Kluyveromyces lactis: one gene and its partners. The protein of the gene in region 2 binds, or shares a complex with, the protein of the main gene of each other region. Links are inferred from orthologs where the notes say so. Each region holds a gene or a part of one and is shown on either strand. Other genes may lie near its edges.

Region 1 (2,337 bases), on a different chromosome or scaffold from region 2:
TCAAAAGTTTCAAAATATGAATGATTTTGGAGTTCAATTCACTTGCACCTCCCATTGCTCTTAGCTTCTTATTGGAAATCGTTGCAGATTCATCAAGGATGGATACCAATGCATTAATAGCGAATGCTGAGATCAAAGGTGATGCGACGTGTTCTGCTGTTGGACCAGGTGGAGGGTTTTTTAGAATGTTGGTAATTGCATCCTGTGCTCTCTTCCTTACTTTTGGTCTTGGATCTAGAGATAGCTCAAGTAGACCATCCAAACCTCTTGTTGGAGTCACCTTTAAATTTTGAGTGTTATTCCACGTTTGCGTATCCTGGGCAATTAACAAAGCTTCTAAACAACCAAGAGCGGATTTGATCAAAGGAGCGTTAGCCTTTTCATCAGTAATACATGGGGCAACTTTAATCAAAATATCAGCAAACCTGCTCTTTAATATTTTCTTTGGTGTATAATGAAAAATGATGTCCAACAAATACATCGTTGATGTTGCTAATTGTAGATCTTTAATGGCCGCAGTTTCTGTATCGATAGTTTGATCCAGCAAGGACATCAAAGAAATAAGATAATTCACGATGTTCTTATTAATTGCCTCTTGCTCATTAATATTTTCTTCAATAGCAGCCAAGATTATGGCAATGTGCTTCTGATTCTCTAGTTTTGATGTAGATTGTCCTCTGATTTTAGCAAGCTTATCTTCAAGTTCAAGAAGCTTGGACGCTTGTTCAGGACCCATATTGCACAATTTGTTCGCTTGTCAGTTTTCAATCCCAAGTTAAACTCAGTAATTCTCTTTTCTGAGGTGTTGTTGATTATAACTCGTCTCTACTTGTTAGATGAGATGAGCGATGAGATGAGCTAGATTGAAAATTTTATACAGCTTGTGAAAAATTTCTTTTTAAGCCCTTAGTGATGAAGCAGCAAGGATCGTGAGGCAATGAAGAAAGCAGAGAATAAAAAGTAAATAAATTTTGGTTAATATATGCCAACTCTGTATATATGCGTCTGCTAAACGGGTTCAAGAACATACTATTTCATTATTTGTGTCGTTAACTTTCTTTACTGAATGCGATGTTATTTGTAATGCCAAGTCGTTTTATATGACTGCATTTTTGGTAAACTAATTCCCACCGTCAGTCTAACTCCAGTAAATAAACACTTTCTCACTTATAGATACTTTCTCATAGATCAACTTCCTATACTATTAGGCTGTAATGTCGCCATAAACGCCTAAGACGAATGTTGCTCATACGGCTGTTAGATATCCCACCTATATCACGTGATAGACATGCTTTATTTAGTTGGTGTTGAAAATCCTTCGAAAGATAGAAAAAAAAATTCAATCAACATTAAAAGCGTAATAACAGGACAAACATATTATGTATCAAGACGACCAGAGCGAGTAAACCAAGTCTCTTAAACCAGAATTTAACGCCAAGTTTGGTGAAATACAATAATCATGACGAAAGGTTTGGTGAGGATAAGACTAGCTAGATTCGGAAGGAAACATACCCCAGTATACAACATAGTTGTTACCAACAAACATAAGGCGTTGAATAGGAAACCAATTGAAGTATTAGGAACATACAACCCAATCCCAAAACCATTAACGAAGAAAGAGGTTAAACAAGGTGTTGTTCCTACTAAAGATGTGGAATTAGACTTCGGAAGAGCTAAATACTGGATCGGTGTTGGTGCTCAACCTAGTGATACGGTAACAAGACTATTGAGAAAAGCTGGAATCCTGGATGAAAATTGGGGAAAGACCTACACAAGTAGTAGGGTTGTTATTGAACCTAGGAAAGAAGTCTTTGAAGAATAGACCAGCTGTTCCGATTACTGTATTAAAAGCGGTATATCAATAATCAGGGCATAAATCACCATCTCCCAAGGCTTTCTTACGGTCAAGAACTCATGTATATAGGCTTAAATTGATAAGAGGAATTCGGGCACTTTTTCCGGTCATAAACCAATGTAGTAGTTACATACACTTAACAGCTTGGCCCCATGCGGTAAAATTGAAGTGATTAAATTTACATATCACCATATATAAGATGCTATCAGGTAATTCTACACAATAATAATAATCGTCATCAGCATATATTTCCCTGAATGAGGGAAGTATCATCGAGGAATACTGACTGTTAAACTATGTGATTTCCGAAAATTCATAAATATTAACAAAATTACAAGAACAAAAAGATGGTTTATGTTATGTTTTTGTGAATGAGTGAGTGAATGTCTAACTTCTCAAGTATTTAATAGGTATGTTTGGTGTAATGTTCAGGTTTGTATTGGAGATTAGTGCTCATGATGTTACATCGAGTCAAATTGTGT
Region 2 (2,149 bases):
TAAGAACAGCTCGAGAGCACATATTGAAAACAACGTTGACAAAGATGTGGAAGTAACAATAGTGAAAAACGACGATCAACTTGAGATCAGAATCAGAGACTTCGGAGGCGGTATAGATCCACAGGTAGAAGACCGAGTCTTTGATTATTCTTTTTCCACAACGGTGAAGGAAGAGAAGGACAGCGGTATGAGCGATTATGTTTTACCTGGTCAAGAAGTCCAAAACGTTGCAGGTATGGGATTCGGACTTCCAATGTGCAAAGCGTACCTAGAGTTGTTCAATGGTACACTTGACATTCAGTCATTGTGGGGATGGGGTACTGATGTTTATATACGATTGCACGGTCCATCGGATAGACTATTCGACAAATGAGAACACTGTACTATCATTCAGTCCCGGAGCTTTCCATTGCAACGTGTTTATACTGTTAGCGCTATTTACAGATATAATCCTATTTATTGAGAAACATATATTCATATATACAAGAAGTTATCACATGTCATGATTAGCTTCTGTTTGCAGTTCTTTGAGGAAGCACCGATATGTCTTTGTGAACCTTAGACATCAAACCTATTGCTTGGCATCTCTTAATAGCCTTTGTTAGACGACGCTGGTTCTTAGCCGATAAACCAGTTACATCTCTGTGTAATATTTTACCCGTTGATGTCACAAATCTTGACAAGAACTCTGGGTTGGTGTATAAATCAAGTGGATTGATCTTCAATTTGTTGAATGGGTCAAACGATCCAGGACGTACCCCAAACTTCTTATCTAAATGTATTCTTTCTAAGGAGAAATCAAATGGATTGTAAACGGAGCCCGGCTGAAAGTTTTTGATTAACTTGGATTCTAGCTTCTTGATTGTGGGCTTGCTATTAGCTTCCGACATACCTTCTTTCAGAAGTTTTTGGTCAAGACTGTTGCAGACATATCTTGTGGTAGAAAAGAATCTTGCGCAGCTGCGGGAAAACATTTCTTCTGATGTGTTTTAATTTATTCAATCTCTCGTTAACAGGCGTAGAAAGGCCCGAGCGACTTGGTTGTTTTCCTTCTCTTGCTTGCTTAATATTCATGTTATTGAATAAAATTTTCCATGTTGAAAAGATCTCTAAATTTCAAAAAAAAAGAGATTGAAATAAAGGATACTTAAGTCATTGCCAGGCATTCAACCTTTTTCCTGTTGTCAACCCAGTTTACGCAGATCAACCTTGGAGGTGTAGCGCGATTGATCGGAAAGCTCTTGCAGGAAGTCGGGCATCCCTGTGGATCAAACCCGGCGCGCTCCAGCACCTACAGGCCGATGCAATCGGCCTCCTATTCTTTGACCTGGCCAAAACTGATGATCCGTTTGCTGGGTACCGGCGACGGTACCGCTGAGCGCTGCTATGCCGGCAGTCAGGTTGGTTATAGCCAGCAAAATGGAGCCGAGTGCCTACCCAGGTCAGCGGTGCGTTGCGCTTGGTCACGTGTGAGATTTCGTGTGCCAGCATCGAGGCTAGCTGGCTTTCATTGTCGGTAACCTGCAGCAGTAATGGATCTTTGATCAGCGGCGCGCTGGCGCGCTGCTGCCGCACGTAGAAATCGCCCATAGCCAGCCGTGGGCCACAATCAAACGTTTACCCCAGCTTTTCGGCAGGGTCTTGATTCTTGGCTGGATCTGATGGGAATAATGAATCAGTAAATAACTGCGATTCTGAACTAATTCGAGGATTTTATCAATATTGGTGTGATTTCCAATGTAACATCAATTCATCTATTATCAGTCAGTGTTCTATCCGCTCTGGTGGTTATTCAGGTTAAGTAGGTTAACATATAAACGTAACAACAAATTAAAAAGCTGGAAAATATTACTACTTTTCCAGCTTTCAATCCATTAATCGTTAAATACAAAACTTTCTTCAGCTAGATTGTGGTCTTTTCTATAACTCTCGTCCAATATTAAATAATCATCTGGTTGTTTAGAGCTTACTCCTTTCAACCAAAACTGTTCACCGTAAGCTATCAGCATTGCCCAATGATACTCAAGTTCATGGCTACGAAGACATACTGCCAGATAACTATCAATGGGCTTACATACTAATGAAGACGATAAAACCATTAATTCAGCCTCATCTTCTTTTTTATTTGCATACTTAACGATAATTGCTT
Region 3 (2,444 bases), about 330 kb from region 2:
GGATGTATTTGTCAAGAAACCGGTTGATTTAGTGCTAGCTGCGGACTGTGTGTACTTAGAAGCTGCTTTCCCATTATTGGAAAAAACACTGTTAGAATTAACTGATGGGGAGAATGTGCCAATTATTCTAATGGCATACAAGAAAAGGCGTAAAGCGGACAAACATTTCTTCCAAAAGATCAAGAAGAACTTTAAAATTGTAGAGATACGAGATTTTATTAACTTCGATAAATATTTGAAACAGAGAACTCATTTGTTTCAGCTTATGAGGGAGAAATAAAAAAATAGTAGTAGGGTGACAACTGACGTTTGTCAAATGCAAAGACACCCCATTTAGTTTGATCTTTTATGCTTTTTGTGATGCTCATGAAAGTACTTTCAATTCGTGAATTAACTATGAGTAACTTTATAGTTATAGTGACTTATATATACATGAAATTTTTATACAATAATGACAGTAAAACTCAGAGTTCTGACGGGAATAGTGTTCATTGGTTGTGTTTAATTGTGGAAGATCATAGTTGAATTTCCTCAACATCTTGATCAATAGGTTTTTGTTCTTCTTCGGTCTCGTTTGTCCAGGAAGCAGAAGGACTACTTGCTCTGGCAGCCATCAACTCAGCTTGCTGTAAGGCCTTTCTCTTCCATGTGTCAATGACCTTTTGTTCCTTAGCAATTCCGTATTCTATTGAAGTGGTATGGAAGACTGAACCGAACATTTCGGCTTCTTCTTGAGCAACTTGATCTTGAATTTCTTGTTGTATTCTTAGACGGTAGAACTCGAATCTAGCTTGATCATATGCATCAATGAGTTCTTTTTTCTCTCCTGATTTTAATAGGAAAAGCGTCCTTTGTACAACTGATTCGCCATCCAATGGCTTGCCTAGTTGTTGGATATGAGACCAGTCATATTCTTGAGTCTCTAGGGTATTCTCAACAAGAATCTTAGGTCTTGAAAGTTCCCATGGATGTTGCTGGAAGAACAATTTTCTCAATTTATCCTCGATATATACTAATTTTGGGGACTGATATAGCTTCGATGCACCATCTTTCTTTTCCAAAGAATTTGGTCTAGTTTTGTATAATCCTGAAGAATTGGCCTTCCAATTGCTGTAATCAGGTAGTGCAGTTCTAGATTTACCGTTCATAGGATGTGTCAGTTGTGGGGTTCTAGCAAACTTCTTTGTTGGTGGTACCTTCGCTATAACATTGTACCAAGCTGGAGTCTTCTTCAAAATACCAGACTTCAAATAGGCGGATGTACGTTCTAGTACATTAACGGCTTCTTGCTGAACCTTCATTTTATATCTGACGTTTATATGGCCCGTTTACTCTATACTATCTCAGTAAACTCGCAGGTTCAAGCAATCGATCCAATACTTGTTGTCCTGGAGCTGTTCATACAGCATATTTGTGAACTTTTCAACTTTTCACTATAATTTCATTTTGGATCGTCGATCAGATTTTTCAAATTTTTCTAAGTAGAAGCATTCAATTTTTAGATCACGTGAAGAGTAAACATTTTTCACCAAAATTAAAGATCGAAGAGCTAAGTGTATGGGGAGCGTAAGTTCCTTTATTCTTTTCAATACAGTGGAATGATAACTGATGAACCTTAGGTTTCATCTCGTTCCTGTTTTGAAAGGTTCAGAGTAGATATTTTCTTCGGCAGAATATTCACGGTCACTAGCTTTTCTGAAAAACATGTCTGCCCTATTCAATTTTAAATCATTGTTACAAGTTATACTATTGTTCATATGTTCGTGCACATATATTCATGCACAAAGACCATCGCTCCTTGATCGTTATAAGGACAGCGGTATACTAGGAGTATTTTGGAAGTTTGCGAGAATTGGGGAAAGAGCTAGTCCTTATGTGTCTTTAGCTTGCATTGCCATGGCAGTTTCGCAATTCAACAGTTGATAAACCCAAGGGAAAAGATAAAGATAAGTCACAATTGCTATAGGTGAAAGCTCTCATTAGCAAGTTTGACCGGCTCTGAGGTCTATAGAATTATATTTTAAGTATAAAATTAGTTTAATCTATTATCGGGCGGCTATTGGATTCGTTTGCGGGCTTGTCTCTTTGCATCAAATAATTAAGAATTAATATGTACTCTTTGAATCTGACTTTGAGTTTCAAAATTCTACAACAAACAAAGAAGTTGAAAAGTGCAACATATTTTAATACTCTAAGCTATTAGTAAAGGAGAACGATTGCGTAAGTTTTCGGTTTACTAATTATTTATGGCATATTTGATCCACTCTATTTAAACTCGTACACTTCGTTTTGGCCATGAGCCAATACTGCCGCGCGTTTAGATCCTACGACTCTCTCTAGAGAAAGACCGTCCATCTTACTATATATGCATCTGACAGTTGAAATGTTGATATCACAGTTGCCTAAAAATACGTTCTTACCAATATTGCGAACAACTTCAGAAT
Region 4 (2,247 bases), on a different chromosome or scaffold from region 2:
AGTGAACAATAGAGGTTTGAAAACTGCTTCTCCACACTTCTGTGCTCAGGAAGTTTTACAATATGTTATGGCTATTAGCTCTAAACATTCTGATAATGCTACTTGCGTAATTCTGCGGTTACCGAACTGGGGAAATTGGCCTGTCATTGATCGCACTGGTGCGATTAGAGAGGAAAAGCTACTAAGTGGTGTATCCGGTGGAGAAAGATCTAGTGGTTGAAAAAAGTCCACAAACTTAATCATAAATTAAATTCAAAAGAAACCTCAAGTAAAGAGTGTATATTCTATTTTACTTCAATTATTATATATAGTACTCGTTATGATTAACATTTGCATCTATTTAACAATGAGAAACACCATTAACTCCCAATTAATCGAGAGCACTTGTTCAATAAATCATTTCTTAGTAATAGATACAGTTACGTATGGAGTACACGGTGGTACATGAACTTCCAGGTGTGATTTTATATACATGCTGCTGTCTGACTAACTTTGTGCTTTTCATAAATGTCAAATCATTTGTTCTTAGTTTGAGTATAACTGAATCTCTTTCTTGTTGGTACGAATTCTCCTAGCTTACTTCCTACCATATCTTCTGTCACTTCAAACGCGACATACTCCTTACCATTATGCACTTGGAATTTCAGTCCGACAAATTGAGGTAATATGGTGGCAGATCTGGCATTTGTTCTAATGGGCGTACCTTTGGCCAATGCTTCTTTTATTGGTAATGGGACTATATTTGGACCTTTCCATACAGAACGTGATAGTAATCTCAATGACGGGAACATTTTATGACGTTATGAGTGTTATCGTAGACGCGAGATATTTGTCTAACTGCTGGAACCTTTGGCTGACTGATATCATGGTAGTGACTTAACTCTATTATATCTTGTCGTTATTTCAAGTTTTACAGATTGAAATTTTTTATGAATTCCGTTCTGAAATAAAATAATAGACGAATGGCGATGAGATGTAATATGATGCGATGAGCTTCAGGAATTTAGAAGGTCAGTAACAGCATAGCGACAGCATAACGATAGCATCCAGTCAATAACATGTTTGCTGCAAGGTTTGATCCTACTAAGGTGACTGAAAATGTACTAACAGCTGAAGTCACACAAATAAAAGAACCCACTGTGCCCCAAAAGAGGAAAAGAGATGCGGAAACTGATGATGAAGGCTCTGGTGAGGACGATGCTTCCAGCAGTGAGGATGATGCTTCCAGCAGTGAGGATGATTCCGATACAATTAGTGAGCAAGATGAAAACAAGGTTGCATCTGTTGCGCCTACAGAAACTTCTCAGCAATCAGTTGATGCAAAGCACAGTTCCGTATTAAATAGATTTCAACAGACTCTTTCCCTGCAAGGTGCGTTGAGCGCTTCAGACAAGGTCAGTAGTGACAACGATGTACACGATGAGGACGTATCCATGAAAGATGTTCACAGTCTTACCCCAATTCCTCAACCGGCCAAAGTGACCAATGAAGCCTTGAAGCTTCTAGATCCGTCTACATATAAATCCACTGCGTGGGATGCAGCAACCAAAATTCATTACGATAGTAAAATGGTTAAACAATTCGATAGCTACGAAGGTGAATTAGATGCACGTCTGCTTAAAAATATTACCTCCAATTTCTCATCTGAAACGTTCCCTATTCAGACCATTCTATTCGATAAAGTGCTCCCGCTTCTAAACTCATCTTTTAAAGCAAACAGAAAACTTTTCACAAGACGAGTTGGTGATATATTAGTAAACGCATCAACTGGTTCCGGTAAGACCTTAGCATATTCTGTCCCTTTGGTTCAAATTTTGAGATCTAGAACAGTGAATAAAGTTAGGGCAATAATTTTGGTTCCTACTAAAATTTTAATTCATCAAGTCTACGATTGTCTCTCTAAACTAAGTCAAGGGACCAGTCTCAATGTATCAATGTCGAAACTCGAGAACTCCTTGAAAGAAGAACACAACAAATTTTTGTATAACTCTCCAGACATTCTAATCATCACTCCGGGCAGACTGGTCGATCACTTGCAGATGGAATCATTTGACCTAAAAACTTTGAAGTTCTTAGTCCTTGATGAAGCAGACCGACTATTAAATCAGTCATTCCAAAATTGGAACCAAGTGCTTTTCCACCATTTGACAAACGATAAGCAGGATAAACGTCCAGGAAACGTAATCAAAATGGTCTTTTCTGCTACTTTGACTACGAATGCAGAAAAGTTGTACAATTTGTATCTCC

Evidence for each region. The genes of interacting proteins can lie anywhere in the genome.
Region 1: RSM18 (region 2) and MRPS16 share a complex: the UniProt entries of both Schizosaccharomyces pombe proteins name them as parts of the mitochondrial small ribosomal subunit. The link is inferred for Kluyveromyces lactis from reciprocal best matches to the Schizosaccharomyces pombe genes rsm18 and mrps16.
Region 3: RSM18 (region 2) and RSM25 share a complex: the UniProt entries of both Schizosaccharomyces pombe proteins name them as parts of the mitochondrial small ribosomal subunit. The link is inferred for Kluyveromyces lactis from reciprocal best matches to the Schizosaccharomyces pombe genes rsm18 and rsm25.
Region 4: RSM18 (region 2) and RSM19 share a complex: the UniProt entries of both Schizosaccharomyces pombe proteins name them as parts of the mitochondrial small ribosomal subunit. The link is inferred for Kluyveromyces lactis from reciprocal best matches to the Schizosaccharomyces pombe genes rsm18 and rsm19.

Annotation. Positions count from the first base shown.
Region 1 is NC_006042.1:2,519,181-2,521,517, reverse strand, and holds MRPS16 (mitochondrial 37S ribosomal protein bS16m), read left to right. Parts: upstream 1-1,459; coding exon 1,460-1,822; downstream 1,823-2,337. Other genes in the region: mRNA-binding protein RRP12, read right to left, coding at 1-736. UniProt on the Schizosaccharomyces pombe protein: Component of the mitochondrial ribosome (mitoribosome), a dedicated translation machinery responsible for the synthesis of mitochondrial genome-encoded proteins, including at least some of the essential transmembrane subunits of the mitochondrial respiratory chain.
Region 2 is NC_006041.1:409,308-411,456, forward strand, and holds RSM18 (mitochondrial 37S ribosomal protein bS18m), read right to left. Parts: upstream 975-2,149; coding exon 507-974; downstream 1-506. Other genes in the region: protein kinase PKP1, read left to right, coding at 1-373; KLLA0_E04577g (uncharacterized protein), read right to left, coding at 1,204-1,590; KLLA0_E04599g (uncharacterized protein), read right to left, coding at 1,875-2,149. UniProt on the Schizosaccharomyces pombe protein: Component of the mitochondrial ribosome (mitoribosome), a dedicated translation machinery responsible for the synthesis of mitochondrial genome-encoded proteins, including at least some of the essential transmembrane subunits of the mitochondrial respiratory chain.
Region 3 is NC_006041.1:744,002-746,445, reverse strand, and holds RSM25 (mitochondrial 37S ribosomal protein mS23), read right to left. Parts: upstream 1,302-2,444; coding exon 516-1,301; downstream 1-515. Other genes in the region: EFM6 (putative protein-lysine N-methyltransferase), read left to right, coding at 1-280; KSH1 (Ksh1p), read left to right, coding at 1,705-1,923; rRNA-binding ribosome biosynthesis protein UTP25, read right to left, coding at 2,266-2,444. UniProt on the Schizosaccharomyces pombe protein: Component of the mitochondrial ribosome (mitoribosome), a dedicated translation machinery responsible for the synthesis of mitochondrial genome-encoded proteins, including at least some of the essential transmembrane subunits of the mitochondrial respiratory chain.
Region 4 is NC_006042.1:666,674-668,920, reverse strand, and holds RSM19 (mitochondrial 37S ribosomal protein uS19m), read right to left. Parts: upstream 792-2,247; coding exon 516-791; downstream 1-515. Other genes in the region: type 2C protein phosphatase PTC6, read left to right, coding at 1-220; putative ATP-dependent RNA helicase DBP6, read left to right, coding at 1,059-2,247. UniProt on the Schizosaccharomyces pombe protein: Component of the mitochondrial ribosome (mitoribosome), a dedicated translation machinery responsible for the synthesis of mitochondrial genome-encoded proteins, including at least some of the essential transmembrane subunits of the mitochondrial respiratory chain.